Mus musculus: one gene and its partners. The protein of the gene in region 7 binds, or shares a complex with, the protein of the main gene of each other region. Links are inferred from orthologs where the notes say so. Each region holds a gene or a part of one and is shown on either strand. Other genes may lie near its edges. The genes, in order: Anp32e, Ing3, Asdurf, Vps72, Meaf6, Epc1 and Ruvbl1.

What was found.
Region 1: Ruvbl1 (region 7) and Anp32e share a complex: the UniProt entries of both Homo sapiens proteins name them as parts of the SWR1-like complex. The link is inferred for Mus musculus from reciprocal best matches to the Homo sapiens genes RUVBL1 and ANP32E.
Region 2: Ruvbl1 (region 7) and Ing3 share a complex: the UniProt entries of both Homo sapiens proteins name them as parts of the SWR1-like complex. The link is inferred for Mus musculus from reciprocal best matches to the Homo sapiens genes RUVBL1 and ING3.
Region 3: Ruvbl1 (region 7) and Asdurf share a complex: the UniProt entries of both Homo sapiens proteins name them as parts of the PAQosome complex. The link is inferred for Mus musculus from reciprocal best matches to the Homo sapiens genes RUVBL1 and ASDURF.
Region 4: the proteins of Ruvbl1 (region 7) and Vps72 are in contact, whole or in part, in a cryo-EM structure (PDB 9CA9), measured with the Homo sapiens proteins. The link is inferred for Mus musculus from reciprocal best matches to the Homo sapiens genes RUVBL1 and VPS72. Residues at the interface, in NP_003698.1 of Homo sapiens: Thr136, Leu138, Pro140, Glu142, Met147, Tyr150, Gly151, Lys152, Thr153, Ile154, Ser155, His156, Val157, Asp173, Pro174, Phe177, Glu178, Gln181, Ala187, Gly188, Arg205, Thr208, Tyr209, Ala210, Thr211, Glu212, Phe213; in NP_005988.1 of Homo sapiens: Ile212, His215, Arg263, Thr264, Phe265, Ile266, Thr267, Phe268, Ser269, Asp271, Phe274, Trp277, Phe278, Gln280, Gly281, Arg282, Pro283, Pro284, Lys285, Val286, Pro287, Arg289, Glu290, Ala299, Leu300, Tyr301, Arg302, Pro309.
Region 5: Ruvbl1 (region 7) and Meaf6 share a complex: the UniProt entries of both Homo sapiens proteins name them as parts of the nuA4 histone acetyltransferase complex. The link is inferred for Mus musculus from reciprocal best matches to the Homo sapiens genes RUVBL1 and MEAF6.
Region 6: Ruvbl1 (region 7) and Epc1 share a complex: the UniProt entries of both Homo sapiens proteins name them as parts of the nuA4-related complex. The link is inferred for Mus musculus from reciprocal best matches to the Homo sapiens genes RUVBL1 and EPC1.

The regions. Positions count from the first base shown.
Region 1 is NC_000069.6:95,927,935-95,932,592, reverse strand, and holds the start of Anp32e (acidic leucine-rich nuclear phosphoprotein 32 family member E), read right to left. Parts: upstream 3,337-4,658; 5' UTR 2,997-3,336; coding exon 2,943-2,996; intron 1-2,942. UniProt on the Homo sapiens protein: Histone chaperone that specifically mediates the genome-wide removal of histone H2A.Z/H2AZ1 from the nucleosome: removes H2A.Z/H2AZ1 from its normal sites of deposition, especially from enhancer and insulator regions.
Region 2 is NC_000072.6:21,969,730-21,973,935, reverse strand, and holds part of Ing3 (inhibitor of growth protein 3), read right to left. Parts: intron 4,023-4,206; coding exon 3,829-4,022; intron 2,830-3,828; coding exon 2,628-2,829; intron 2,126-2,627; coding exon 2,087-2,125; intron 354-2,086; coding exon 237-353; 3' UTR 1-236. UniProt on the Homo sapiens protein: Component of the NuA4 histone acetyltransferase (HAT) complex which is involved in transcriptional activation of select genes principally by acetylation of nucleosomal histones H4 and H2A.
Region 3 is NC_000067.6:53,349,665-53,354,538, forward strand, and holds the start of Asdurf (ASNSD1 upstream open reading frame protein), read right to left. Parts: upstream 3,089-4,874; 5' UTR 2,956-3,088; coding exon 2,866-2,955; intron 1,270-2,865; coding exon 1,216-1,269; intron 399-1,215; coding exon 323-398; intron 1-322.
Region 4 is NC_000069.6:95,120,893-95,124,108, reverse strand, and holds the end of Vps72 (vacuolar protein sorting-associated protein 72 homolog), read right to left. Parts: intron 2,848-3,216; coding exon 2,703-2,847; intron 1,731-2,702; coding exon 1,331-1,730; 3' UTR 1,058-1,330; downstream 1-1,057. UniProt on the Homo sapiens protein: Deposition-and-exchange histone chaperone specific for H2AZ1, specifically chaperones H2AZ1 and deposits it into nucleosomes.
Region 5 is NC_000070.6:125,083,463-125,088,318, reverse strand, and holds the start of Meaf6 (chromatin modification-related protein MEAF6), read right to left. Parts: upstream 3,159-4,856; 5' UTR 3,143-3,158; coding exon 3,053-3,142; intron 2,175-3,052; coding exon 2,059-2,174; intron 1-2,058.
Region 6 is NC_000084.6:6,438,363-6,442,568, forward strand, and holds part of Epc1 (enhancer of polycomb homolog 1), read right to left. Parts: intron 2,882-4,206; coding exon 2,760-2,881; intron 1,829-2,759; coding exon 1,687-1,828; intron 1,594-1,686; coding exon 1,230-1,593; intron 1-1,229. UniProt on the Homo sapiens protein: Component of the NuA4 histone acetyltransferase (HAT) complex, a multiprotein complex involved in transcriptional activation of select genes principally by acetylation of nucleosomal histones H4 and H2A.
Region 7 is NC_000072.6:88,489,261-88,493,466, forward strand, and holds part of Ruvbl1 (ruvB-like 1), read left to right. Parts: intron 1-2,255; coding exon 2,256-2,358; intron 2,359-2,364; exon of another isoform or gene 2,365-4,206. UniProt on the Homo sapiens protein: Possesses single-stranded DNA-stimulated ATPase and ATP-dependent DNA helicase (3' to 5') activity; hexamerization is thought to be critical for ATP hydrolysis and adjacent subunits in the ring-like structure contribute to the ATPase activity.

The DNA of each region.
Region 1 (4,658 bases), on a different chromosome or scaffold from region 7:
AGAAAGCTTCTAAGACAGCCCACCTTTGGGGTGTCAGCTGAAGATAAACAATATCACACAAAACAATATTCAAAACATTGTTTCTCCTTCTGCTGCTCAAGCTGCCACATGGACTGTCCCAAGCTTGGAGGCCACATGGACTGTCTGTCCCATGCTTGGAGGGAGGGGGGACTGAACGTCTTTTCTTTTCTTAATGCATATGGTTGAATGCATGTGTGTCTGTGCACCCTAGGCATGCAGTACCCATGGAAGCCAGAAGATGGGTGTTGGATAACTGGGACTGGAGTTACAGACAGTAGTGAGCTGCCATGTGGGTTCTGGTTCTGGGAAGACCTGGAAGGACAGCCAGTGTTGGTAACCCCTGAGCCATCTCTCTGGCTCAGAAGGGGATTTCTTTTTTTCTTTTTTTTTTTTTTTTTTTTAGATTTTTTGAGACAGGATTTCTCTGTGTAGCCCTGGCTGTCCTGGAACTCACTCTGTAGACCAGGCTGGCCTCAAACTCAGAAATTTGCCTGCCTCTGTCTCCCAAGTGCTGGGATTAAAGGCGTGCACCACCACGCCCGGCCCAGAAGGGGATTTCTTAATATCTCTGGGCAGTAAATTTATTTATTTATTTTTTAATGTGTATCCATTTTTCCTCATATGAACCTCATATGTGCCCAGTGCCTTCAGAGGCCAGAAAAGGAGTTGGACTCCTGGGAGTTTGTAAGCCACCTTGTGAGTGGTGGCTCATAACCACTGAGCCACAGATCTGAGATATAGTAACAAAACTTACCCTATGCACCTGAATAGATGTAATCACAAAAGCAAACCCTGGTTCTCTATTCCCAGAGCAAAAAAAATGTCTATTTAAAGGCAACAAGGACTGTCATCTTCCCTACTTGAGTGTAACTTTGGCATTATTTAAATGAGCAGAAATGGTACAAAGATATCCCTGTTATAGCCTCAGGGAAGCCTAGGTATGCAAAATGACTTGCATTACGTCACACCATTAGTGTCAGGTAGGGACATTTTGATAAGTCTGTTTGGGTTTTGGTTTTGTTTTGTTTTGTTTTAAGACATGGTCTTTGTGTAGCCCTGTCTGTCCTATAACTTGCTCTGTAGACTAGCATGGTCTCTGAATCACAGAAATCCATCTGCCTGCCTCTGCCTCCTGGCTGTTGGGATTAACAGCTCGTGGGACACTATCTCCGACTTGTTCATTTGGTTTTTGTTTTGTTTTGTTTTTTGTTTTTTGTTTTTTTTTTTTTTTTTGGTTTTTCGAGACAGGGTTTCTCTGTGTAGCCCTGGCTGTCCTGGAACTCACTCTGTAGACCAGGCTGGCCTTGAACCCAGAAATCCACCTGCCTCTGCCTCTCGAGTGCTGGGATTAAAGGCATGCGCCACCACCGTCTGGCTGTTCGTTTTTGAGACAGCTGTAGTCAAACTCAAAACTGGCCTCAAACTCAAAAAGATCTGCCTGCCTCTGCCTTGAATTAAATGCCTACCACGCCAAGCAATTCTTAAGCCTTTGGATTCTGGTCTTAACCAGAGACTTCTTAGAGCTCAGCAAGAGTTTTGTAGACCTAGTGTCAGAATCCCAGCTCTTCAACTTTACTCCTATTTGCTAATTTGGATTCTAGAACAATACAACCCAGCTTACATTTTCCCAAGGAGAAAGTAAATAAATGGGAGTGCCTTATAAACTATCTATATAAACTTAACTGTTACCACACCACACCAAAGGAAAGAGACTGCAAAAAGGCATGTCAAGCAATCCTCCAAATTGAAGGTGAAAGGATGGGGCGGAGGGGACGACCCATTTTTGCTCCACAAGACTTCTGAGAAACTGCTTGTTTTGATTTGCTTTGCCTTGTTTGACAGAGTCCCACTTGCAACCAGCGTCCTACCTCGGCCTCCCTCCCAAGGGCTGGGAATTTCTTGATATGAGAAGTACAGATTTACAGATATACAGAATTACAGATATCACTCACCACGTCCTGCTGACAGCTTTCAACTTTTGAGTTTTTCTAGAATCTTCTAAGAAGCTCTAGAAAACTTCCATTGCTCCCAGAGATAACCCTCACAGCAACAATGTTTCCACCACCTCTCTCTCGCCTCCAGTCACCAAAACCCGCAAAGGAACCACGAAAATCAGCAGGGCTCAGGGACCGTTGGCTCTGCATGATAACTGTGGAGGCCCGGCAGATGCCCGCCTTTGAGCGGGCGTCAAGGGACCACGGCGGCGCGGACCCCTTGTCCCTCGATTTCACGCCGCGGCCGCGAATCAGCGAGCCTGGTCCCCGCCCGCCGCGGCCAATCTCCAGACCCGCGGACCTGGCGTAAACCGCTAGGGAATCCGACGGCGGGGAGTCGGGGCGACGCCTCCCGGGCCCCCTTCAAGACTCGGGACTCTTCCCTACGACCGCACTGAGCGCAGCGAGGCTCGCACAAGCCTCCAGCTTGCGTAAAAGTCCGCGCGCCACGCGGATCGCGGCCCGCGCCGTCGGGTCCCGGGATTCCGCTGCGGCCCCGGCCGCGGCGCGTGCTGCCCGCGAGCGGGCACGGTCGGAGGGAGCGTGGGGCACAGATCGGCGCGAGTCCCACACCCGGGGCCGCGGCCGGCCGAGTGGCGGCGCCGCGGGAAAGTTACACCAACTTCGCAGGTGGCGAGGACCCGGGGGTCGCGCCCACGCCGCCCGCGCCCGCGATGCCGGGCCACCAGTCTGCGAGGACGCCATGGGGCTGAGCCCCCGCGCGCTCACGAAAATGCCCCTAGAAACTTAAGCCCTTCGCCATTTTAAGCACAAGAGCCTGGTGATTTAAAACTTAAAATAAACACCCCGCCTCCACCCCAAGTGGGGGCGCGCTTCCCAGCCCGCCCTGCGCACCCACCCGGACCCCCGAAGCCCACCCCTCACGATCCAGGGCGGGAGGGGACTATGGGGGCTGAGTCATCTCACCTCCTCCGGGGCTCTGTTCTTCAACTCCATGTTAATCTTCTTCTTCATCTCCATGTCCTCCTCCTTTCCCCTCGCCTGCCCTCCCCACTATCCCCAACCCTAAAAAAACCTCTAAAGGTCTGGAGATGAATGAAAAGAGACGCAAAGACGAACGCCCACTACCACACGGGTGTGGGAGAGAAAGAAAAGAATAGCAAATGGAGTCCGACGACTTGGGACTAACTCGGCTGCCCCCACCTCCGAGTCCACACACCCGCGCGCGCACACTCGGGCACGCACACACTTTCACACAGAGAGAGTGAGGGAGAGAGACACGCGCGCGCCCGCAGTTCCTTCCCCTTCAATGGCTGCTGCGAGACTGAGCCTCCATGACACGGCACCGCCAACCCCCCCTAGCCTACACTCCACCCACCTCCCAACGGGATTGGTCGAGTCCTTAGCGTCACACGACTCCATTGGGCTAGAGGGTTGTCCATTTGTCTTTAGGGGGGACCTGGACCAGAAACTCAGTGTCTATTGGCTCTGACTAGGCGCGCAGTTAATTCCGATAGGTTCGGGAGGATGTACGTCCCGGAGAAATGATTTTGAATCCCAGTCGCCCCCCTCCTTTTCTTTGTGTGATTGGCGCGCTTTCCCCTTGGTAGTAGGACGGTTTGGGTGTCTGTTGGGTTTGTTTTTGTTTGTTTGGGGTTTTTCTGGCTTCAGGGTTAAAAGGAAGGGAAAAGGCGTCGTTGGCATCCCCAAGTTGTAAGTGGGTCATGCAACACACTGCACCCAGAGCTTTCGGTGGTCTTAAAGCACAAGCCTTCTGCTCTGCGGCTAAAGTGTAAGCAGGGGCGCGAGCGCGAACAGCGTGTTGGTGACACCTCCCCGTCCCGAACTGCTTGTAGAACCAGAGCGTGATAAAGAAGGTATTTTAACTTCCAACATAAAGGGGGGAACGGCTCTGAAAGCAGAGTTGAGTTTAGCACGTTGAGTCAGAAGCCTTTAAATAAAACTGTCCAGGAGGAGTTGATACTGAGGTCATTTGTCACTGCTAAAAAGTTGGAATATTAGAGCCAGCCGCGGTGGCACACGCCTTTAATCCCAGCACTGGAAGGCAGAGTCAGGCAGATCTCTGAATTCGAGGCCAACCTGGTCTACAGAGCGAGTTCCAGGATTACACAGAAAGGGGGGTGGGGTGGGGAGAGACTGTTTCCAAAAGACAGAAAAACAAACAAACAAAATTGACACCTTAGAGGAAAAATAACACAGGCCTAAAGAAACACAATTATCAGAAACTGTCCAGCAAGGCCTCTCCTTTCCTACAGGAATCTACTTAAAATGTTCTTTTAAGTGTGAGGGGATGGAGAGGCAATGACCTCTAGCAGAGGTTCCACCCTGGTTCGATTTCTAGCACCCATATAGTGGCTCATAATCACCCATAACTACAATGCCAGGAAATTCAGAGGCATCCTCCGGACTCCACAGGCCACAGGCACAGATGCATTGTGTGTGCGTACGTGCAGGCAAAACACACGGATATGCAAAAACAAAATAAGTAAATTAAAAACAAAACCAAAACTTTTTTTTTCTGTTTAATGTTCCTGAAAGATCCAACATTCCTTTAATCATAGCCCTCAGAAGGGAGAGAGGGGCAGATCCACAGTCATCTACTAAGTAAATCCAAGGCCAGCCTCTGTCACAAAATAACAATAACAACAGAAACTATGTAAT
Region 2 (4,206 bases), about 67 Mb from region 7:
AAGGCTAACTGGAATAATATTCATAGCACACCAGGAGTGCATAAATAATTTACTTACATTATTAAAATACAACTCATAAAATTCAAGTTCAAGATCTTATAGGATTGTCTCTGTAATCCTCTAAGTGGTGGCCTGGAGATGAGCTGCTTCTTCGTCCTCGTGTCTTTCCTCCTAGCGTCCTGTATAAAATGGCGAGCTGGAGTTCCTCCTTCCTGCAGTGACAATAGAGTCCCTCTCTATTTGTGCCGACTGCCTCTTCTCTTCATGGCAGCGGTGCACTGCGGACAGAACCACTTCCCCTTCGGCGCTTCGGTCAAGCCAACACACCCATAGTGGAACCACTCTATTGGACACTGGAAGAGAAAATTTAAAAAAAAAAGGGGAGTTGGTATTTCTAAAGAACAGATAATAATAATAAAAAAAATGCTTAGGACACACAGTATTTCATTTAACCAAACTTAGGTCTGTGCGATCAGATTTCTTGGACCCTGGCAGTGACTAAACGTTACTGAGTCTGACAGATGTGCCTCATGGATGAAAACATGGACACCCAGGAAAAGGATGCTTCTTTGATAAGAGAGACGTCATGGACTCTAGTACCTGAGCACTAAAGAATGGACATTTATTTGCTGCCATCAACTTGGACAGCCGCCAGGCGGTGCCATCTTCCAAAGAATAAAGAATATGAATCTTACATGAAGAAGGAAAACATGTAAAAGACTTAAAAATATCCAGCCATAATTGTTCTCTGGAAGTGGAATGAGCTAGCTGTAACTAAAGCCATCAACTGGCTGTGTTTCCTTTCTGGTGCTCTATCCAGAGATATGGAGGAAACCCTCCTCTCTGAAATATTAAAAAATTCTTCACTCCACAGGAAGGCTTGATACCCACAACAGCACTGGAGGAACTACAGGGACCCCAGAGGACACTGCTTTAAAACACCTCCCCACATACACACACAAGTGACTGCACGGGACAGCTGGGGAGGGACTGTGCCCTTCTCAAGAGCACAGTGCACCCACCCTGTCAGGGAAGGAACACACACAACTGTCCTTGTGACTCTTGTTAATATCAGAATTCTGACACCACTGGTGTCACCAAGGTCACAAGTTTCATGCTACTCCTTTGAAGTACAACAGGTACAAAAGGGAGTAGCAGGTACAAAACTGCTGTAGGGCAGTTAAGGAATGAGCCAAAATCCCTAGACAATCAAACAGTATTTAATCAAACATGCATCTTTATCCAAAATTAAATCCCTTTTGTGGTTTGAATATGAAATTCCCCTGATAAGCTCAGTTGGTCCCCAGCTAGTAGCACTGTTTAGGAAGTTTCTAGAACCTTTAGGACAGGGTGCCTTGCTAGAAGTGCTTCACTGGGGTGGACTGGAGGTTTCAAACCCTGCCTCCACTTGTACTTGCTGCCTCCCTTCTGCCTGCCCTGGGTGGGTGAAACAGAATCAGGTGGCTTCCTGACTACCAGGCCAACCTTACACTCCTGCTGCCATGCGTGCCCTGCCAAGATGGACTGTGTTCCCTTTGGAACTGTAAGTCAAGAGACACCCTTCCCTGCCTTAAGTTGCTTTCTGTCACGGTGTTCTTATCAAGTAACTAATACCCTTCCTAGCACAGGAAGCAGGAGTCCTTTCTCAAATCTCCTCTCAGTTTCCCATCAGAGATGGCTTGTACAGTCCAAGCCCCTTGTGGAGAGAATGCCGAATGCTATAATAACGAGGGAAATAACCACACATTAGGTCTTAATTATCCCTGAGCATCCTTTTAGTTTCACTTCTTCAATGTGATAAACAACCAGGACTCTGGTAAATACAGTATCTTAGGCGGAAAGAAAAGAAAGCACTTCGAACTGCCAACAGTAATCCTTGTGAATTTAATCTGAACCTAACACGAGTAGTGCCACCTTGAAACACTGAAGCAGGAAAATCATTAAAGCCATGTAGATGCTTTCATCAGGATAATGTAGTTATCCCAAATGAAAACCTGATTGCCAAACTGGGAAATAGAATTAATAAGACAAATACTCAGTCATCTACACCTTTTTACATCCCAATATAGGAAAATGCAATACTCACATCTTGGTTATCACATCCCACCATCTCTCCATAGGATACCTGGTTCAAAGAAAATTAGATAAACATTACAAGTATGTTACAAGCATTTAAGAAGTTGGCACATTGCATAACCGCACAATATGATCTTCTTCTCTCTGATTCATAAATACTCAGTAGAAAAGCACTGCCTTTAAACTCACAGACTGGCCTTACAGGTAGCTAGTCAACCAGCGCCTTCGTCACGGGTCTCCCAGTCTCTAGCACCATCACAGGGAGGAGTTTCTGCTGTGTAGGCCACAGGGCCAGTGGTGTATTACATCATGCATGCAGGGTACATGTGTTGTGACATCAAATGTCTCACCATAGGTTGTATGGGAAAGTTGGCATTACACGTAATTCATGATTCTTGGTATTTATAGCAAGTATACTACTTTTATAAGACAAAAATTATAAGTAAACCATTCTTGATTTTAGTTAGCATAAAAATGTGCTGATTTTAAAACAGTTTTCTTTCTTGTTTCTTCAGACTACACTTTTATAGACACGCAGTAGATGTTTTTACCTGATTACAGATGCAATACCGAGGTTCATTTGGGTCGTAAGTCCAATCGACTTGACTGTTGGAGTCAGATTCGGGCACTACAGTTGCTTGCTGGGAAACTTCTTGTACTACAGTTGAAGACGATGAACACAGAGATAAGGAGGAAGAGGACGACGAGGAGGAGGAGGACGACGACTGCTGGCTTGAAGACTTGGTGTTGTTTCTGAAAAAATTACAGGCAGATTAGCTGCATTTGTTCACTGGGGCGGTTCCCCGAGAGTGACTCCTCGTCACCGACACAGAAGGAAAGGACACGCTGAGGTCTGACCCTAGGTTTACAATTTTTGTTTTCTGGAGAATAAGTTCCTTTAAGAAGGAAATATTCTTAAAATCTTCTATTTAAAATAAATAGAAGAAAATTCTCTTAAAATGTTTCAACTTTTAAAGATAATTTCTAAATTAAGGTTACTATCTACCATTGACTTAAAATTTTTGGTAGTGTTCAAGAATAATAGTTACACCATCTCACACTGTTAATGTTTTTACAGTAAATTAAAGAGTTCTTATCAAAACCTAAGTACAAATATAGAAAAGTATTTGGCAAAGTCCTAACATCAGTTGGCATGTGTCCTATGCCTATCAAGTATAGCTGGATCTGAGAGTATCAGAATTCAACAACTGTTTACCACCAACTCTATTCCAGAGAACATGCAGAAATTTATTATAAGGAGTTCAACTAAATGTGGGCAATTCATATCAATTTTAAGATGTATAATAGTTCTGTGGAGACTTTACATTGATCATTCTTTCAGGAGATTTTTGTAGAGAAGTAATACATTTAAAATAAAGATAAAATGCATTATTATATAACTAACTCTTTTGGTCTCTCATTTGCACCTTTTTTTCCTCCTTCAGCTCAGACAACAGGGTTTCTAAACACCTAAACTACAAATAGGAATAGTGACACAAAATGATTTATCTGAAAGAACAAAAGAAAGTAAAAAGAAGTCACTTACATACTAACTGAGAACAATTACAAATGACTCTAACAGTTGAAAGACTTCCTTCCTGCCTTCAAGGTGAGGCAGTGCAGAGAGCCAACTGCCTATCCAGTGTTTAGCCTGGATCACTGTACCCTGCTGTGGTTAATCCCTGGAGATGTATGGATACAGCTCCACACAACAACCCTGAACAAAGACACACACTGCCATGGGAAACTTACTTGCTCTTCCTGCCACTCCGCGAGTCCGTGGCGGAGGAACTGGCATTCTGGGTTAAGGTTGTCATGAGTGCCGATGAGGAGGAGTAGCCAGCTGTTTCTCTGGGTATGGAAAATTCTTTTCCCAGCTGGAAGTCATTGTTCTTAAATGCTTCGTAACTGGCTTTTAAACTCGATGTTCTTCGCCCTTCTTTCATCTTAAGTAGACATGTATTGACAACATCAATATATGTAAATATGTATTTTCTCTTTAAGTGTTACACGTTATGGTTATTTAAGTCATGGAAAAATTCAGAGTCTTTTTCATGCTAAGCTGAGAATAAACATGGGAAATAGAATGTCTTAACTCACACTATGTGCAAACCACAGAAATGAGCTAAC
Region 3 (4,874 bases), on a different chromosome or scaffold from region 7:
CTAAGTTTCAGGACAGCCAAGGCTACACAGAGAAACTCTGTCTTAAAGGACTCCCCCTGCCACCCCCTCTCCCCAAAAAACCAAAACCAAAACCAAAACCAAAAAACCCCCCCAAAAACCAAAAACCAATAAACAACCCACTGTACATATCTTTGGAAGTCTAACTGGAAAACAGACCACTGTACTAAATCAACACACACATTTATTCAGATAGGGCTTAACTGAGGCACCATTATGAATCCCCACAAAAAGCTTACAAAAGGTTTTCTGTAGCATTCCATATATAACTCTGAAAACAAAAACCAAGACGACCACCACTCACTTTTGCTTTCAGAAAAGATTTTTGTTCGATCTTCAAGAAAGAATATGTTGCTGTTCTGTTGCTGCTTGTATACTCTCTGCAAACGAAATTGACAAGATCAGGGTATGACATGCACACTGATGCTGAACAGGATCCTGTTATCATTTATTCTTGAACTTCAGGAATATTCAGAACAGTAATTACCACAGAGAAACAAAGCCACTGAATACTACGCCACCCAGAACTGGTTGTTTACTTAGCATGCATCATCATACCACACACTTTCAGTAACAAAAGCTATCATAGCCACAGATTTATAATTTACTTCATAAATGAATAATACATGGAGACCTTTTCTGACCATATGGGTACAACACTATAGTTCTTTGCTGGCCTCAAGCTTCAGACACTTACTGTATCGTCACTACAGGTGCTGATGAGCGCCTCTACGTGTAAACACACATGCACCCTCACAACTGCTTACACACCAGTTACTCAGAAGTGTCAAACAGCATTTACACATTTTGACAGTTTGATCTCCAAAAATTTGTATTAATTTGCCTTAGCATCTAATATATCCCAAATGACAATATCAGAAATGTCAAGAATGTCAGTCATTACATAATCGCAGCTGATTTCTGAACATATTCATAAAAAAGGCATTAAATGGGTTAAGTATTTAGAATAGTAAAGTTTTCTGTGAAAAACTTCATTCTTTTTTGTTAAAATATAATAAATATTTTTTTATCTTTGAGATCTATTGACATATACAGGAAAAACAAATTTAAAACATGCAAAAACAAACTAGGATACCACGTTAGCTTTTAAATTATGATCTTTGAATTTTGTAATGTTAGCATAAATAATCGAAATCATAATTTTAATATACTATTCAGATTTCCACAGCAACTCACCCGATTCTTCTTTAGATTAGAAAGTTCATCCACAATAATTTTCTGTTCTTTAATCTATTAAAGTAAAGAAAAAAATCTAAAGTGGAAGATTTCAAAGTATGTTTAGCGAGAACATTTTAAGTCACTGCTTTAAAACTAAAGATGGGGTTGGGGGCTATAATGGACTGCCTGTCTAAATGGACACTGAACAAATCAACAGCACTCAGTCTGGAATCAGTAGAAGACAGCTTGAGAAGGAGAAGCATAGGCTTGCCAGGGGTCAGTTACCACAGCTCACATCTTTAACCAGGGTGAGCCACTGCCTACCCAAATTAATACCAATCTTTTAAGCCAGGCAGTGGTGGCGCACGCCTTTAATCTCAGCACTTGAGAGGCAGAGGCAGGCAGATTTCTGAGTTCGAGGCCAGCCTGGTCTACAGACTGAGTTCTGTGACAGCCAGAGCTACACAGAGAAACCCTGTCTTGAAAAAAACAAAAAACAACCAAACAAAAGAACCAAAAACAAACAAAACCTCTCCCGAAAACAACAAAAACCCAATCTTTTAGTTTTATAAGGTCTTGCTGTAGACAAAAAGAGAGAAATAAAATGAATGTGGGTTCTCCTCTTTACCAACAACCAATGGTTTTATGATGTATGCACTAGATGACAGCCAGACATTCGGATAAAACAAATGAAATGGTACTATGGTACTGAATGCCCTACCTGCACTGATCCAACATGATTTTCCACCACTGTATCATTCTATTTCAAGTATTAAGGACTGCATATTGCTGGTATCGTTAAGCTAGGCAAATAGTCTATTAAGTCCTGAGAGCTGTACTAATAACCTACAAAGCCATATTGAGTACGCTTTCCTTGAGATTCAAGTCTGCTTGTACAGTGTTTTTATGCTCATTACAGGAATGACAGGTGTCACTTTAGGTGACACCACAGTACACTGTGGTACAGCGGGAATTAGGCAATGTACTGAAGATATCATATAGGACAGAAAAAATACAGAATTTAGGAATGTTTAATATCTGAAAAGACTATACCCACACCCTTCCACTCTACACGTTTAAAGATTTTCGTCTGTAACTGGAAGTTAGGACTAGTTCCGGTATGGGGTTGCCTCCCTGAAATCCTGGCTATTAGGCAAGAGAATTATTCAAGTAATGCCTAAGCAATAATATCTGAGGCTGGCCTGAGTTATTTATGAAATCCTATCCTAAAGGTATAGAAAAAAATTAATTTGATAGGGTGCTCCTTTCTCTTGTTGAATAATAAAGAGATGACCAAACAGATGTTTTTAGGATCACTTAAAGTTGAGAATATATTTTAAGGTAACAGGCAGCTGAGAAAATCGGCTAAGAAGCTTTTGCCTGAGTCTGGAAGAACAGGTACAGACTTCTAAACTTTTATGATGGACGTCATGGATGGCACCCAGGCGGGTGCGTGGCTAACTGGATGAAGCACAGCCACAGAGCAACAGATCTGTGTGTGACTGAGCAACACATCTGTGTGTCACTTTTTTTCAGGGGACACGCCTCCATCGTCGCAAACCTGCAGGATGGAGGGGAATCAGCTGCTGGTGCTGAGAATGCACGGCGGAGGCTACAGGGCACAGCGGGGCCCGCCGCCCACCACCCTTCCCCGGCGTCCCACGGCACCTTGCTGCTAAGGGACTCGGCGTGCGCAGTCGATGTGTGTGGGGGCCCCGGCGCGGCGCGGCCATCGGCGTGCACCCCACTGCTGGGCATCGCCTAGCCGCGCCGCACGCCAAGAACCGCGACTGAGGAAGGAACGGCAGCCAGCAGCCCCGGCAGGAAGCCTGGGTTCCACTCAGGAATCCGCCCCTTCCGGCACCCCGACCAATGGAGTGCGCACACTCACGCCTGCGCAGTGGCAAGCGCGCGCGGGGTGGGTTGTGAAAAGTCGAATTAAGAGTTGTGCTCCACTGCAAAATGGTTTTCTGCTAAATGTAGGTGTGGCTTGGCTGCAGAATCTATGAATGGTCTGTATCGCCCCCTAGTGGATCCTATGTAAAAATAAATCACTATAATTTAATACTCTTAAATTTGGTTTTCTTCTCCTCCTCCCCCTCCCCCTTCCTCCTCCTCCCCCTCCTTCTTCCTCTTCTTCTTTTTCTTCTCATCCCCTTCCCCCTCCTCTCCCCTCCCCTTCCTCTTCCTCCTCCTCCTTCTCTTCCTCTTCTTCTCGTCCCTTCCCTCCTCCCCCTCCTCCTCCTCCTTCTCCTCCTCCTCCTCCCCTCCCCTCCTCCTCTTCTTCTTCAGATTTACTTATTTTATGTATATGATGAGTTCACTGTCTCTGTCTTAAGACATACCAGATGCAGATCTCAGGTGCAGAGGATACCATAGAAAACATTGAAACAACAGTCAAGGAAAATGCAAATTGCAAAAAGCTCCTAACCCAAAATATCCAGGAAATCCAGGACACAATGACAAGACCAAATCTAAGGATAACAGGTATAGAAGAGAGTGAAGATTCCCAACTTAAATGGTCAGTAAATATCCTCAACAAAATTAAACAAGAAAACTTTCCTAACCTAAAGAATTTGATGCCCATGAACATACAAGAAGCCTACAGAACTCCAAATAAATTGGACCAGAAAAGAAATTCCTCCCATCACATAATAATCAAAATACCAAATGCACTAAACAAACAAACAAACAAAAGAATATTAAAAGCAGTAAGGAAAAAGGGTGAAGTAACATGCAAAGTCATACCTATCAGAATTACACCAGACTTCTCAGCAGAGACTATGAAAGCTGGAAGATCCTGGGCAGATGTCATACAGACCCTAAGAGACCACAAATAGCAGCCCTGACTACTATTACAGCAACACCCTCAATTACCATAGATGGAGAAACAAAGATATTCCATGGCAAAACAAAATGTACACAGTGTCTTTCCACAAATCTAGCTCTATAAAGGATAATAGATGGAAAACACCCACACAAGGAGGGAAACTGCACCCTAGAAAAAGCAAGAAAGTAATCTCCTTTCAACACACCCAAAAGAAGATAACCACACAAACATAAAAATAACATAAAAAATAATAGGAAGCAGCAATCACTATTCCTTAATTTCTCTTAACATCAATGGACTCAATCCCCCCAATAAAAAGACATAGACTAACAGACTGGATATGTAAACTGGGCCCAACATTTTGCTGCATATAGGAAACACACCTCAGTGTCAAAGACAAACACTATGTCAGAATAAAGGGCTGAGAATAATTTTCCAATCAAATGGTCCCAAGAAACAAATTGGAGTAGACATTCTAATATAGGATAAAATTGACTTTCAACCAAAAGTCATCAAAAAAGATAAGGAAGGACACTTCATACTCATCAAAGGAAATATCTACTAAGAAGAACCCTTAATTCTGAACATTTATGCTCCAAATGCAAGGGCACCCGCGTTCATAAAAGAAGCTTTACTAAGTTAAAAGCACACATTGCACCTCACACAATAATTGTGGGGGACTTTAACACACACTCTCATCAATGGACAGATCAGGTAAACACAAACTAAACAGAGACCCAGTGAAACAAACAGAAGTTATGGACCAAATGGATTTAACAGATATCAATAGAACATTTAATCCTAAATCAAAAGAATAAACCTTCTTCTCAGCACCTCATGGTACCTT
Region 4 (3,216 bases), on a different chromosome or scaffold from region 7:
GCACATGCCTTTAATCGTAGCACTTGGGAGGCAGAGACAGGCAGATTTCTGAGTTCAAGGTCCAACCTGGTCTACAGAACAAGTTCCAGGACAGCCAGGGCTAGAGAAACCATGTCCTGAAAAAACGAGAGAGAGAGAGGTCTCAGGTGGTTAAGACTGCTGCACAATTGTGAGGTCCCCGCACCTACATAACAGCATAACAGGGTGGCAGACACAGGAACATTGGGGGCTTGCTGGCTCCTGATAGCCTAGAGAACAGGAGCCCAGGTTCAGAAAGAGAGCCTGTCTCAAAGGATAGGTGGAATTACAGATGACCCTGCCTGGCCTCTGCATAGGTGCACCACCCGACACGTGGTTGTATACATAGACACATACAGAGACACACACACTCAGTGTAAGGATTTTGTTCTGGTATTTAAGAGACTATGTACTGGCTGGTTTTATGTGTCAATTTGACACAGGCTGGAGTTATCATGGAGAAAGGAGCTTCAGTTGAAGAAATGCCTCCATGAGATCCAGCTGTAAGGCATTTTCTCAATTAGTGAACAAGGGGGAAAGGCCCCTTGTGGGTGGGACCATCTCTGGGCTGGTAGTCTTGGGTTCTGTAAGAGAGCAAACTGAGCAAGCCAGTAACATCCCTCCATGGCCTCTGCATCAGCTCCTGCTCCCTGACCTGCTTGACTTCCTTTGGTGATTAACAGCAATGTGGAAAGTATAAGCTGAATAAACCTTTTCCTCCTCAACTTGCTTATTGGTCATGATGTTTGTGCAGGAATAGGAACCCTGACTAAGACAGACTAAGAGAGTTAAATATGGATAACCCAGGTAAGTGTAATAAAAATGATAGACATGAGTGCAGGCATCTTTATGACACCCACTACTTAGTAAATACATGCTACTTAAAAGGACAGAGCAGGAACAGTGATTTACCCCTCTAGGCCCAGCGCTTGGAAGGTTGACATGGGAGGCTTGCTTGAGCCCAGGAGTCTGAAATTAGTCTGGATAAATTAGCAAGAACTTGTGGTTTATTTATTTATTTATTTGTTTTTTTTTTTTTCCAAGACAGGATTTGTCTGTTTAGCCCTGGCTGTCCTGGAACTCACTCTGTAGACCAGGTTGGCCTCGAACTCAGAAATCCCCCTGCCTCTGCCCCAACCTTACACATCAGACAAAAAGGATTTTACCATTTTATTAGATTAAAAAAATGAAGAGCACAAGTAAATGAAATGAACTAGGGAGGAACTGAGGGAAACAAGGGCGAAGGTTGGCAGAAGGGAGGGCGGAGTGGAGAGCCAGGTCAGGAGAGGGACTGTCTAGGGGTCAGGTGTCTCTATTTGATGACAATCTTCTGACGCAAGGCTCGAGGCCCAGAGCCAGGTAGTGGCTCGGGGGGTGGGGGCCCGGGGCCCAGCGCCGAGGCGGTGGGTGGAAGTCCGTGGGCAGTGATGTACTTCTTGTACGCCTCACGGATGATCTTGAAGGCTCTAGCAGTGGCATAGGGTATGTCTGTAACAGGGTCCCGGTACAAAGCTGGACGGTGGGTCACTGGGCAGACCTCCCGCACCGGGACCTTCGGGGGTCGCCCCTGGGGGAACCACTCTTCAAACGTTGCATCATCACTGAACGTGATGAAGGTGCGAGAGCAGTGAGCAGGAGGGGTGGCAGCGGCAGCTCCAGTCCCGGTCCCAGCATGTGGAGCCAGTGCAGAGGCTGTAGGAGCAGGATCAAGGCTGAGGGCAAGAGAAAAGTCACAAAATGCTGCGGAGACAGACAAAGGAAGGTGGTAGGCTAGGTTTGCTGGCTGTGACCTCAGTATTTACCAGGCCATGGGGCTGGAAAGATGGCTCAGCAGTTAAGAGCTGGGCTACTCTCCCAGGATAGAGGTTTGAGGCCTAGCACTCAAACAGTGGCTCACAACCGTCTGTAACTTCAGTTACACGGAATATGTCACCCTCTTCTGGCTTCAATGGGTACCAGGCCAGACAAAGCAGGCAAAACACTGATATACATTAAAATAAAATAAATAAATAAGCAAACAAACAAATAATAAAATAAAATAAAAAGTTGGGCATGATGCTTCACATTTGTGACCCCAATACTAAGGAGAAAGAGGCGGGTAGATCATGAATACTAGCCTGGGCTATATAAGGAGTTCCAGGCCAGCCAGAGCTACAGAGTAAGACCAACTCAAAACAAAACAACAGGAAGTGTCAGAGCCATTTGTCTGCTTCTCAAGTAGAGTAAAAGTCTGCCCGCCAGGCAGAGTCAAGGCAGGTCAGGGTCTGCTGCCAGATTTCCTGGCCTGCTGACATAAAACGTTAGGAAGAGATACACGTAAGGCTTGAGAGGAAGAGGTAAACATTCTGTTAACCTCGGAGGAAGGAACAGGGAGGCCTCAGGATGAGATCAGATACCCTATATACATGGCAGCAATTGTTTCTGCTAGCTTGTTAGTTTTATATCCTGAGACACTGCGGTATCAGAAGGCTACACGCATTACACTTGGGCTACTACAGTACTCACTGACAGACCCCTCTCTTGTCCTGTGTCTGCTGTCTTCTCTTTGATCATCCTCACTCCCCGCTCAGAGACTACTTACCTGGTGCTGGCAGCCAGCAGAGGGAAGGAATGAGCTGAGGTCTGAATGTGTGCAGTGAGAAAAGTAAACTCCTAGAGAAGCCGGGGGCACGGGGTTCACTCACCCTTCCACGTCCACATTTTCCTCCTTGGGGCCGGGCTCCCCAACAAGCGGCACCGTCACTGAGTGGTAGGTGATTATTGGCCCAGGGCACTTCCGCTTCTTGTGAACCTGCTTCTTTTTGTCAGCCTCCAGCCTTTCATAGGTCTCTGCAGGATCGAAGGGAGAAACGACAGAATGGTCAGCTTTCCTTTCCCACACTCTGGCCTGTCATCTACTTAAATTACACATATGTATTTTCAAGAGTGTATGTACATGAACACATGTGTGGAGAGGTCAGATGACAATGTGCTAGGGTCAGTTCTCGGCTTCCATCGTGTGGATTCCAAGAATTAAACTCAGGCTGTCACCAACTGCTTTACCTGCTGAGCTATCACAGCTCTCTGGGCTCTGTCCTGTGATTTTGTTTCTTTGTTTCTTTTTTGGCTTTTTGAGACAGGGTTTCTCTGTGTGGCTTTGGCTCTCCCGGAACTCAGAGATCTGCCTGACTCTGCCTCCCAGGTGCTGAGATTAAAAGT
Region 5 (4,856 bases), on a different chromosome or scaffold from region 7:
AGCAGAGCACTTGCCCAGCATGCTCAGCGCCCTGCGCTGTAGCCCCTGCAGCAATGGACAAAGAACAGAGCCCTTAAAGCAGGAGCCTGCAGGCCACGAGGACATTCACCTACAGTCCCAGCACTCGGGAGGCAGAGCCATGTGGATCTCTGTGAGTCAGAAGCCAGCCTGGTCTACACAGAGAAACCCTGTCTCCAAACAAACAAACAAACAACAACAAAATATTAATGAGACATAACTGCCGAAAGCCACTGGATCCAGGATCAAAAAAAGAGTAGCAAAGCATTGTGGGGCCAACCAAGGGAATCTGAAGGAATCCGTGTTAATGTTTAAGCTATAAGCATCCGAGTTATATGCAGAGATGCCTTGCTCTTCTCAGGAAGTAACTGATAATATATTTAGAGGCAGAGATTCGTGGTGTAAGCGCCTAACTCTTCAATGGTTAGCAGGGAGAGAAAGCACGGGCAAACAGCAATGTAACCACAGAGGAGGAGCAGGGAGGAGACCCTGTGACGGCGGAATGGGTCTGCATCTTTATACACACACTAATCAGAGGGCAGCTTTCCACCAGTGGCCCTTGCTTTCTACCTTGTTGAGACAGAGGCAATCTGGTTATTTGGACAGCACTACATAGTTCAGGCTGTCCTGCAAACTTCCCAAGTGAGCGATTCTCCTGTCCCCAAATCCCACCACATATGCTAAAATTCCAGACGTGCATTTACACATGTGTGTTAAATGGCAGGGGTGGGGGTGGGGGTGGGGGATGGTCCAAAAGTTCAGTAGACAGAGTCTAATCCCCTGGGGCTCCGTTACAGGTAGCTGTAAGGCACCTAACAGTGATGCTGGGAGTCGAACTCCTGTCCTCTGCCAGAGCAGTGTGTGCTCTTAACTGCTGAGCCATCTCTCCTGTTGCCAGTTGTGCCTTTTAACACAGGTTCTGGGAACTGAGCTCCGGTCATCAGGCTTGTACACCAAGCGCCTTTACTCACCGAGCAATATCTCCTGGGCCTGGTTTCACATCCTGTAGTTATACACATACGTTAAAATGCCATACCCACCCCCACCCCCACCCCCACACAGCCAATCTTGATTTCCTGATTTTGATGATACTCTATAGTTACGTAAAACGTAACCATCAGAGAAAACTACGTAAGCACACACAAGCCATGTCTATTGTTTGTACAGCTTTCTATCGCCATCTGTAAATTATTTCCAAACAAAAGGTTCTTAAGCACACAGAGAAGTTTTCGTACTTCAGAGAGAGCATGCACCCACAGTGAGTTAGCAACTCATGAATACATGGGAAAAACACTAACTGGTCATGCACATTCTCATCTCAGTTTTCCTACAGATTTGAAAAATTCCTCACAAGCGTAGGCATTTTTATACAATCGCATGACTGAGCTGACAGTGGTAACAATGAACTTGGAGGTAGAACAAAGATCGTAATGGCACAGCGTGGCTGATGAAAATGTGGAAGACAGTTCGGTCACAGGCTGTACTTCACTTACACCCACACATCCCTGCACCATGGGCCCTATTTTCTTTCATCACAAATACTGGCTTCCCCAAGGTTTCTCCGTGAGCCGTCAGAGTACAAGTTCAAGCTTAGACCCCATTCCACACTACGGCTCTACCATCTCCTTGCAGAGTAAATGCCAAAAGCAAATGTCCCAAGCTGGACATGACAGTCCATACCTTTAAATCTATCAGTCAGAAGTCAGAGGGAGAAAGAGCTATGTGATCTGTGAATCCGAGGCCAGCCTGCTTTACTTAGTGAGTTCCAGGCTAACCAGGGCTACATAGTAAGACCATGTTTTAAATCAAAACAAAAATCCTGCAGCCAAATATTAGTAGAGGATAAAATGGAGAGATACTATTAGATTTTTTTTTCTTCCAGACAGGGTTTCTCTGTATAGCCCTGGCTGTCCTGGAACTTACTCTGTTGACCAGGCTGGCCTCGAACTCAGAAATCTACCTGCCTCTGCTTCCCAAGTGCTGGGATTAAAGGCGTGCACCACCAGTGCTCAGCTAATACTACTAGATTTTGACACTCACTTTTGATTGGTCAAATACCGATCCCAGCCACGGATAATATTGCCATACATCTGAGTGTCTTCCAGGTAGCTTCCTTCAAAAGCATATATCTGTCTCTCCAAGTTTGCAAGTGTTTCCTAGGTGATGAAAACAGGGACAGGGAAAAACAAGCATTAAGCAAACTGAAATTCCGTCACAGACTTGTAAAGTCAAGCTTACCCACAATGAACCATTTCTGTGGAAGTGTAGGGGTGATGGACCCCTTTATAAATAGAATGAAATGTATAGTCTATCCTCAGAAAATGCACACACATGCAAGATTTTGCATCTACTTCAGAGGCAAAACCTAGCTGTCACGAGCAGGGATGAGACAGACCGTGAGCTGTCTCCATTCTCACTCACTAAATGTGTTGCTACCAGCAGCGAGAAGGGTGAACAGCTTTTCAAAAGCATCTCTTCTACATCAACTGCTTCCTCCCTGCTAGCTCTGGAAGGGCCGCCCGCAGTGGATGCCGGTTGCTATGGAAACCTGGAAGGGCAGCTTCAGGTGAGCTTTGCCTCCCGGATGCTCGCCGTAAAAGGCGGGAGCCTACAGGGCAGTCAGCAGGGTGCCGGCGGCTCCTGGTGCGCGTCACCAATCCAAATTCCCTAGGCTGCGTCTTGGGTCTCCCGCCAGCCCCGTTCCTTGGCATCCTCAAATACACCACATTCCCCGGCCATTGAAACGCGCCGCCCATGGAATCCATCGTGCATCTTCTCCAGGCCGGGGTCTAGCCGCCTCCTTTCCAACCGCTAACCCGACCTGAGCGTCGTCCCCGCCTCCTGCCTCTCGCCCTTCCCGCGCCCTCACCGCCCCGCCCCGCCCCACTGAGCGCAGGCCGGGAACCGCGCCGCCGCAGGGAACCGCGCCGCGCCCGGCCGCCCAGAGCGCCCAGACCCTGGCTGCCCGCCGTCCTCGCCTCCGGAGCTGCCTGCGAGGCCAAGTGGGGACGGCGTCCAGGCCTCGGCCACTCACCGCCAGCTCCTGCTTCCGCTTAACCAGCTCGGCCAGCTCCCGCCGGGTGTCTGGGATCTGCGGCGGCGCCGTCTTGTTGTGCATCGCCATGTTGGGCTCAAGCGGCGGCGGAGGCGGCGGCGCGCGACCAGTAGGCGGACCCTGCGCACTGTCGCCGCTGGCCGCCAGGGGGCGCGACCCCCCACACCGCGCCTGCGCGCGCGGCTTCCGGGGAAGCTGGCCGGCTCAGCGCGCGAAAGCCGGCGCGGAGAGGCGCTTGTACGTGTGGGACCTTCCTTGCTGCTCCACTGTGGGCCTCTGAGCTTAACAGACACCCACAGACATTCACTACATCGAGAACCCAGCTGCAGCATAGGCCTGTTGAGTATTCCATATGTCTCCCGGCAGACGAGGTCCTTGCAACACCACCCAACTGCAGGTGGAAAACCTGAGCAAGGTTCCGCCCACCAACCGGGTTGCAGAGAAGATCCCCAAACCAACATCTTGCTGGGTTTAGCACAGGCAAGCAGATCTCCTGTTGTACGTGGTTTGCCGGAGGGGAAGGATTATGAAAGAATTAGCTTCTATCTTCAGATCCAGAACTGTATCCAGGCTGGTATTGAACAGAAACAGACCGTGAGTTTATCGTCCTGCCTCTGCCTTCCCACTGCTGGGATTCCATGTGTTGAGCATGCCCGCTGTTAATAGGTGCTGGGGATGGATCTCAGGACAGACGAAGCAAGCACTCTACAGGTACACCCTGAGCCCACCTCTGCATTCTCAGTGCTCAGCAACGTCACTCGTAGTTTAGGTGGCGTTCTTTGCCCCCATGGGTGGATGTCCTTGGGTTTCTATGCCCTAGATGTATATTGTTCAACAGGTATGAGAAATTCTCAATTTTCTAAAACTCCTCTTGCCTAATTTTCTCTCTCACAAACCTCTTCACTAATCTCTTGTTCCTCTCCAGTAGTACATGCCTATAATTCTAGCACCCAAGAGGCCGCGGTAAAAGAAGCAGGAAGGTCAAGGTACTACATAGTATTTGGGCCAGTAAGACTATATAAGACAGTTTCACCACCACCCCCCAAAAAAGAAAGTCAAGGCTGTAGATGAAACTCAGTTGGTAAAATATCTGCCTAAGCCCAAGCTTGCACAAATCCCTGAATTTGAGTCTAGCATCTCTTCCTTTCCTGCCAGCCTGGCCCACAGAAGAACCTCCCAGGGCCAGGCATGGTGGCACATGTCTTTATTCCCAGCACTCAGGGGACTCGAAGACAGACAGGACAGCTGTTTTGAGGGGGAAAAAATCAAGATGAGCCTCAACTACACAGAGAATTTGAGGCTAGCCTAGGCTCAAAAAAATAACAATCAGACCTTGGAAATTTTCTTTTTATGTCTATGAGTGTTTTGCCTGCATGTATGTCTCTGTACCATATGCATGCAATTCCCAAGAAGACCAGAAGACATCAGATCCTCCTGGGACTGGAGGAATAGTTGTAAGCTGCCATGTGGGTGCTGGAGATTGAACCAGGGTCCTGGGGGAGAGCTCTGATCCATCCTCTCTCCAGCTTTTCCCCCTGCCCCGTTTTAATGACTGAGTCCCAATTTGAGATGCCCATATATTTATAGGTGTGAGATCATCCAATGGAAAGTGATCAACCTACCAGGGCCCACACCTTAAAGCTGACTCTTCCCCCACAGGAGTCACCCACTGTTGATAGCTTCTTAGCTAGGGATGGAGGCTTGGGCACCTCTCTCTCCTACATGCTGCCAAGATGACTGGCTTGATCTTAGGCCAGTCTTTTGTAAGCAGCTACAGCTGCTG
Region 6 (4,206 bases), on a different chromosome or scaffold from region 7:
AGACACAGGACTAGTAGCCAGAACACTAGGTTCTAGAGGTATCCTTTGAAAAGTCCACTGGCTTTGTTTCCTACTTTTAAATAGAGTCAGGGATATGAGAAGTCCCATCTACTGTAAATGTCCTCATATTTGTCCAGTTCTACAGCAATTAAAGTCATCATTGGTGATGGGGAAGCGGAACTAATCCCCTGACCAGCCATGAACAGACCAACAATACGTTCCTGGTATTGACCTGATAAATGTAGACAGGGACCTGTAGATGTGCAAAGTAAAGGCTACCAATAAGCAACAACATAGCTGTTCTTCCCTGACACTCTCTGCTGAAAAGTTTAAATGTTGGTCTAGCACAGGCCTGGCCCTCCCCCCTCCCCCAACCCAGCTACTTGTTAACCACTAAACACTAGCTCTCCCAACTTTATTTCTGCTTTGCCTATTTCTGATCTACACTCACAGTTACCTTGCTGTGAAAATGTTTCTCTTTGTTTTAAAACAACAGTGATTGTCTGTACAGTGAACTGAGCAGCACACGTTGCTCTAAGACCCGCCTAGAAAGGCTTCTGTCTATTACCTGCACTGCTTTAATATGTATGTCTATGTTTTAAGCTTAGTTCTTGCTAATCTGAATAATGCAGGTCTTTGTTTCTTTTTCTCCTAGTACTATGTAGCAGCAGGACTTTAATTAGTTAATACAGAGTTAAAGTAATAGTTAGTTATAGTTAAAAAGGCGCCTTGACAAAAACCCTAAACTACTGAACTTCAATAAGGTGAGTGAGCAGAGAAAGCAATGATTAGATGTGGCCAGGTCTGCCAGCATTGCCACTACTGGGAGTAGCTAGCAGACTGTGGAAGAAAGGTTTACCAATTTCAGTCCCACAGTAGGCTACAGATGAAATCAACAGCACAACAACACATGCGAAAAAGAATTCCTCGCACCCAAAGCTGGAGAAGATTTCTAGAGATTTCTAGGTTACTGCTGCAGTAGGAGGTCCACGTCACAGAAGCAACATGACTTTCCCAGGGAGTGGACCGGCTTAGTCTCAAGACTGAATTCAACTAACACTGAATTATAACATCCACTTGCTTAGTTCTTGAATAAACAAAGATTTGTGTGTGTGTATTCATTCATTCAATACACAGAAGGAAACGAGAAAATTTAGGTGGATAGCCACTTCAGGAGGCAGAGTTAGGTGTTTACATTTCAGACATTTCAGCTTAGAAGAACTACTCACCTTGGAACTGAATCTACAGAGGATGAGGAGGGGACCTTGGAAACTTGACAATTTGCTGCAGCAGCCAGCTTTAAGGCAGATGGCGGAACAGCACTTAAAGTCCTAGGTATATGCCGTGCGTTTATTGGGGTGACAGAGTTGACAGTGGGGACAGATGAGGGGACAGTTAATCGGATGTTGTTCCCAAACAGAACCTGAGTTGTTGCAGAGCTGGCAGCAGTTACTTGGTGACTCAGTGAGCTGTGGGAACCCGAAGTCTGTGTAATATTTGAAGGCTGTAACAAAGTTGAACCTGCTGTCGAAGGACTCGTATGTACAAGTGCCGTTGGTGTAGTGCTACTGAGGTGTAAGCCCTTGTATACTCCTAGGGAGAAAAAGAAAGCGTGTAAGCGCTGTGCATTTTGTGGCTGAGTCACGATGTGTACAAATACGTATGCACGCAGATGCCACCCCTCACCTGAGGCAGGAAGGACGCCATTCACCCCGAGCCCGAGCACCACATCATCCTTCACCTTGAACCCCAGCAGCTGTTCCGACGTCATCAAAGCAGAAGCAGCAAACTGTGCACTAGCAGAGTCCAACGTCTTAGAAACAAAACCCTGATAGGAAAACACAAAGGTCAGCATGAGTCAGAGCAACACAGGCCACCACAGTCAGTCGGCCTCACTACACAGGTCACCACAGTCAGCTTCACAGATCTAAAAGCAGCAAACCAATGAGATCTATTCTATTTTCATAGCCGTAAGTCTGAAGGTTGAAAAGTTAGCTAACTTAAGGGTTTATACATTTTGATCTTCCTATGGGAATACAAAATATATACAAAGCAATTACCAAAATAAGCCTATTAGTACAGAATGCAACAACAGCAAAAAGTTCCACTTGAAAGGTTAAAACACATTTCTCAGGTAGTGCAGTGCTGGACGAACCCATTAAGGCAAATATGTAAACTTCTTCCATTTAATCTCTAAATGGCTCCTCTCTGTAAACACCCTCAGTGCTAATATCCACCCACTGTACACTCAAAGGCATCTTTCAATAGTAAGACAACCATCTCTTAATTAAAAAAAGATCTGACATCGTAATTAAAAAATGAGAAGACCTCTTTAATCTCCAAAAATGAAATTTCCTTTAAGATGCTTAGAAGACTCAATTCTCAGCCTTTCAAGCCCCAACTCTATCTATACAGCAAATACTTTTCCAAGAGCAGAACAGGTTGTTTGGGCTTAGTTCTGGAACCGGAACATCTGCTGCTGGGGCTTTACGTTGGGGACAGTACGTTACACACAGACCACGAGTCAGAAAGAAGCAACTTTACAACTAAGAGAACCATGGTCTCAGGCTACTCTGTGTAACAGGCAGCAGAGCAAACAGCTCCCAGACTCACCTGGAATGTTCTTTCTAAACCCTGTACATTCAGGCCAGAGCCACTTTTCTGCTGGTTAGATGCAAGGTTCTAGGACAACACTTGGTAATTAGAGATGAACTCTGGTGGGAAACAACGAGGATAATCCTAAGACACAAGGCCCTCACCTGTTGCGCGGCGGCAGAGGAACTACTATTTGCTTGCTGCTGCTGCTGAGTCTGCGCAAGCTGCTGCTGCTGCATGAGTGCCAGCTGCTGCTGGTGCTGCTGGTACTGTTCGGCTGTGAATGCTGAACATAAATAAGGAGACAGTTCACAAGATGCACAGACACCAGACGCCTTACAACATTAAAAATTCAGCAGAAGAAAAAGATGTTTTTGTGCAAAATGGAAGCATTTGGATAGAAATGATGCTGCCAGAGATGGCTCCCAGAGGCAAACGAGCATCTTCTGCCACATTTAACCAAAGTGGCTTCAAGTTAAAGAAAAAGCCACTACTTTTTTCAGCTGTGACACTGTGCTGGACAGTGCAGAAAGTGCTCTTGGGCTCCCAGTCCACACTCTTGGAGATGCACTTTGCAGTGAGTATGAGGTGAAACCTGGTAAACAGCATTCCGCTTCTATTTTGTCCAGATCGTCATACCGAGGCCCGGGCCTTCCCAACAGCTGTGTACAAACACTAAAGTCTACATAGCTTCTTATTCCAATCATTGCAAAACTTTCTTCTACATAAAAAGTAAATCTGATAGTTTAATACTTAGACAGGAGAACTTATCTTTCAAGTTTAACAGGAAGAAAAGAAGTACCAGGATTAAGGTTAATGAACTTGCCCCACCCAGTTAACCCACCTGGACAAAATCCAGTCAATAAGAACGGAGTTATGCTGATTACTGTACAGAGTGAAGCCTGAGGACAGACACTGTGTTATGCTACTATGTGTGTCTATGGAGAGCTCAGTTCTAAAAAAGACAAACAAAAAAAATGTTCATTTATTACCCCCCAAAGTGTGTGCAACTTTAAAAAGGAAACCTGTTTCTTTATTCTTTTCCTTTGCCAGGTTAAAAAGAAAGGGGGGGAGGGGAGAAGAAAAAAGAAAGCAAATAGTATCACAACCACCTGACAGTAAAGGCTTCTTAAAGAAACCATTCCGAGTAGAAGTTACTTAAACAAACCAAAACCAAAAAATTCCCCCCAAAACCCCAAACAATCAATCAAAAAAAAAAAAAAAAAAAAACCAAACACACAAACAAACCAAAACCAAAACCCAAAACAATAGAGTTACGCTACATCCTATGGTACCAGGGCATCTATTATCCACCGTTCCTGGGGCTCAAGCCTGCCATTTCAAACATGCCCACCTGACTTGCTATGAAGTGCTCCGCTAGTTGGAATATCATCATCCCATCAAGTTTTCTGAATTTCACCTGTAACTTGGGAGGGATCTTTACTAACCTCCAGGGTCCTGGGTCCAGGGTCTGCCTGGTGGCACTGGACAATAGGAACACATCTACCACACTTTCAATGTACCCAGAAGACCGTTAGGCTACCAGAACCTTCACACGTTCCTCAACTGAATTAAGCTCATGGCCCACACTTCTCCCTAGAAAAATACTCC
Region 7 (4,206 bases):
TGGGCTGTTGGTTTACATTTTAGCTTTATGAACTCATCTATAAGAAAGCTCGTTACCCCATCTGTGTAAGTTCTGTTCTTTTGGGGCTGGGGACTTCATTTCTCACATAGATTTCCAGTGAATTTCTTGTGTTTTTTTATCATGTTTAAATCAAAGACTGTGGAAATTTGACTATTTTTGGTTTTAGGCTACTTCAACATGGCAGATTTCAGATATTAAGATGTCCTCAGAATTCTGGCCTTCCCCACTACCCACAATAAACTTTAAGAAGAGTTGAAAGGGTATTCAGTAACAAAAATTTAAACATCATTTTTAAACTTTTTTTTTTTAAAGAAGATGGTAGCTATTCTAAGTACTGTGATTTGAATCCTGATAAAACTTGTCATGTTACAATTCTCTCTTATTATTCTTGTATAGCTTAATGGTAACCTTGAACTCCTGCTCCTCCTGAGGCGCGGTAGTAGCACAGGCTTGTTCTTCATGGCCGGTCTCGTGCTGTGCTGAGGATCAGGCCTAGAGTGCCATGCTTGTTAGGCAAGCACTCTGCTGAGCAGCCCAGTCCTAACATTTACCGTTTGACCCGTTTCCAACTGTAAAACTCATTGACATACGACACAACCATCAGTGCTATCTATAGTTCCAAGCTTTTTAAAGGATATATTCTTTTTTTTATATATATACCTTATGTGTATAAAGATACATGTGTGCATGTCTGTGCACCACATGCATGCATGAGCCTGTGGAGGCCAGAAGAAGGCATTAGACCCCCTGAAGTTGGAGTTATGGTCAGCTGTGAGCCACCACGTGGGTGCTAGGAAAACCAAATCACAGGGCCTCTTCAGGAGCAGTGACACAGAGCTTACACAGAGCCCTCGACACAGAGTTGTCCTCCAGCGCCTGTTTCCAGAACCTTTTCCTCACCTCAAAACCAAGACTGCTGTGGCCCCGATTAGCATCCAGTCCCATCCTCCCTGCTCAGGCTGCATCGCCTCTGACTACCTTCTGTGCACGGCCACTTTGTTTTCCTGGCATGCAGTCTGATACCCATTGGCCTCTGTGTCTGGTTGTTTACTACCGTGTTTCAAGTTTATCCTGCCATACAATTTACTTTCACTTAATTTTATAATAAATATACACTGATACTCACCTGTATGGAAAGAATTTAAAAATTGATTATTTATTTATTTATTTATTTATTTTTTGCTTGCTTGAATCTTTTTTCTTCTCCCTTTTTTGTCAGTGTGCACACGCTCACGCCCACGGCACTGCACACATGTGGGGGTCTCTGAATTGAACTCAGACTATTGGGCTTTAAGCACCTTTGCCTGCTGGACCATGTCGCCAGCCCTGAAACCAAATATTTTGATATTAACAACTAAATTGAAATGGCATGCCTCGCTCTCTGTTATTCTAATCAGTTGTGTTATTTCTTGCAGTTGTGATGGCTGTTAGGGAGACTGATGGCCGCCTGGGTCAGGATGGCTTGATGCAGAGCCCCACAGTTGCTCAGCGTCCCGTGCTGTGGCTGGGCTGGCTGTAGGGCACCAGCGTCTGCCCAGCATATGTCCCGTCAGGCGGCTGGCACAGGCTGGCAGGTTGGCAGGCTTCCTCTCCTGGCTGTTGACTAGGGCTTGGCTAAAGGTTGAAAAGAAAAACAAAGGATGTAATTGGACAATTCTCAGGAAGAAAAGCATGGATGTGAGGGGAAACATTTGTGCCTCATTAGTAAGCAAGGAAATGCAACTCAATCAAGGTGTTCCCTTTTCTTTTTCTAAATTATTAAAGCAGCAAATATTTAGGAATTAAAATGTTCGGTGCTGCCTGTGGTGCTGAGACCAGGCCCCTCACGTAGCTGTGCAGGTTGGCACAGTCATCCACGCAGTAGATCTCTGGGATGCTCAAGCCTGGTGATCATTTCAGAGGAGGCAATTCATGAATGTGTGCTGTCAAGTGGAAATTAGGTCTGGCTATTAAGACTAAAGCAACAGACAAAACAGAAAAATGTATACATTAGCGGTATAATTATAAAATACTCTTTGAAGGTTTAGCAAATAGATGGGTCTGTTTGATTTTGGATTTGGTTTCGGTGTGTTCCCTTCCCGAACTGGGATAATAAAGCTGTTGCCCAGGGCCACCTGGCTCTGATACTCAGGGATGCTAGCTACCTACTTGTACTGTGAGTGCCTCCACTCATGTGTCTGTTGTCCAAGATGTAAGCATTTTTTGGGTGATGGGAGTGATTTTGGCCCTTGCAGGGGCACTGAGGACATCACTTCTCCACACGGCATCCCGTTGGATCTGCTAGACAGGGTGATGATCATCAGGACCATGCTATACACGCCACAGGAGATGAAGCAGGTAAGCCCGGAATCTCATGCTCTCCCCCCCCTTTCTACCCGCTTCTGACCACTTGGCTAGCCTAGGCCTTGCTCTGCTCACTCTTCTGAGCAAATCCCAGTGTCCTTGAGGCTCTGACAGATGGGTTCTTCTGAGTGGACATTCTTAGATGGTTAGATTAGAGCCCATGGTCTTGCCCAGCTATTTCTGGTGAGCTTGAGGAAAGGGAGGAAAGAAAACATGGGCTTAGTGGTCACCAGATGCCCTCAGCCTGAAGAAAGGAGCAAGGAAGTATGATGTAGTTGCTTGGTATGGTAATGCACACCTGCAGTTCCAGCACTCAGGAGGCTGAGGCAGGAGGATCACAGGTTTTAGGCATAGTGAGATCCTGTCTCAAAAGGAAACAAACAAGCAAACACAAACATTCTGGGCCTGTACCTTGTTGCTAGACTGATTTTTTTCCAGCATGCACTAAGCCTCGGTTTTGGTCCCCAGTGCCACATAAACTCAACTTGGTGAAGCTTTCCTGTACTTGGCCAGCACTTGAGAAATTGAGGTGGAGGGTCCTCCTCAGCCACACAGTGAGGTGGAAGCTAGGCTAGACTTTTAACAGAACAAACAGGAACCCAGATAGATGAGCATACTAAGCGTAGCACACAGATGTCTCAGTGTTATATATAATGCCAGCGAGTGGCTAGGACAGTGGCTGGAGCATTGTGGTGGCTGTGGCTCTTCTCTGAAACTGTGTGCTCTCCTATGGCCCGTGCAGTGTGGCCTTGCCAGTATTTCTCATTAATAGCACTCAGGGATTCATGGTGACATACCAGCAAATCTCTCTTCTCCCAGACCAGCTGTTAAAGGTCATAGTGCCACTTGTGAACCTTATTTAGGAAGTCAGCTCCATGGCCTGTCTAACGTCTCCTCCATTCCTGTGACGGTCAGTACCTGAGGGAATCAACTTAAGTAAGGAGAGGGTTATTGTGGACATGGTTTCTTGGCTTTGGCTTGTCATCTAGCCCTGTCCTTTGAACTTTGAGCTCTATAGTGTATCACGAAGGAGACAGAACAGAGTAGGTAGCTTACTCTTGATGGGCTTGGGGTGAAGAAAGATAGGAAAGACTCGGGGGTCCCATTATCTCCTTAGAGGGACTCACTGGGCCAGCTTCCTCCCCCTGGGCCCCATGTCTTGAAATGGCCCATTGCCTACCAGGCCAGTGCTAGGTGGCCGCTGAGCAGGAGCAGGAGCAAAGCCACCGTGCAGATCAGGAAGTGCTTGCTGTTGAGCTCAAAGCTTTAGTCCTGCCAAGAAGTGACACCCACCGTTCTGTGGCTTCCCTTTGCTGGCCTAGTGGCTCAAGCAACTGGGCACCTGTGGGAGCTGATTTTGGTTGTCAACTTGACACACCTCAGGAAGAGAGAACTTCAGTTGGGGAATTGTCTCCCTCAGATTGGCCTGTGGCACGTTTTCTTGATTACAAATGATGTAGGCTGGCCCAGCCCATTGTGGGCAGTGCTATCCCTAGGTCACCCTGAACTGTTTAAGAAACGAGCTAGACGTCAGCCTGGGTGCCTCTTAGTGAGCAGCACCCCTCCATGTGTCTGCTGCAGTTCCTGCCTCCAGGTCCAGCTGAGTTCCTGCCCTGGCTTTCCTGCATGGTGGTCTGTGGCCTGTGAGATGTAATAAACCTGTCCTTCCCAAGTCACCTTGGTCATTGTTGCACCACAACAGAAGCAGTCTAGAATACCCTCTCTGGTAAAGGAGAGACCTACCTTGGGCTTTGGCCATTGCCACTCAGAATCCATTAAGATGGTGACAGGAGACTCCCTGCTTTTCGGAATTATCACATGAATTCTGCGAGCTAGAGAGTA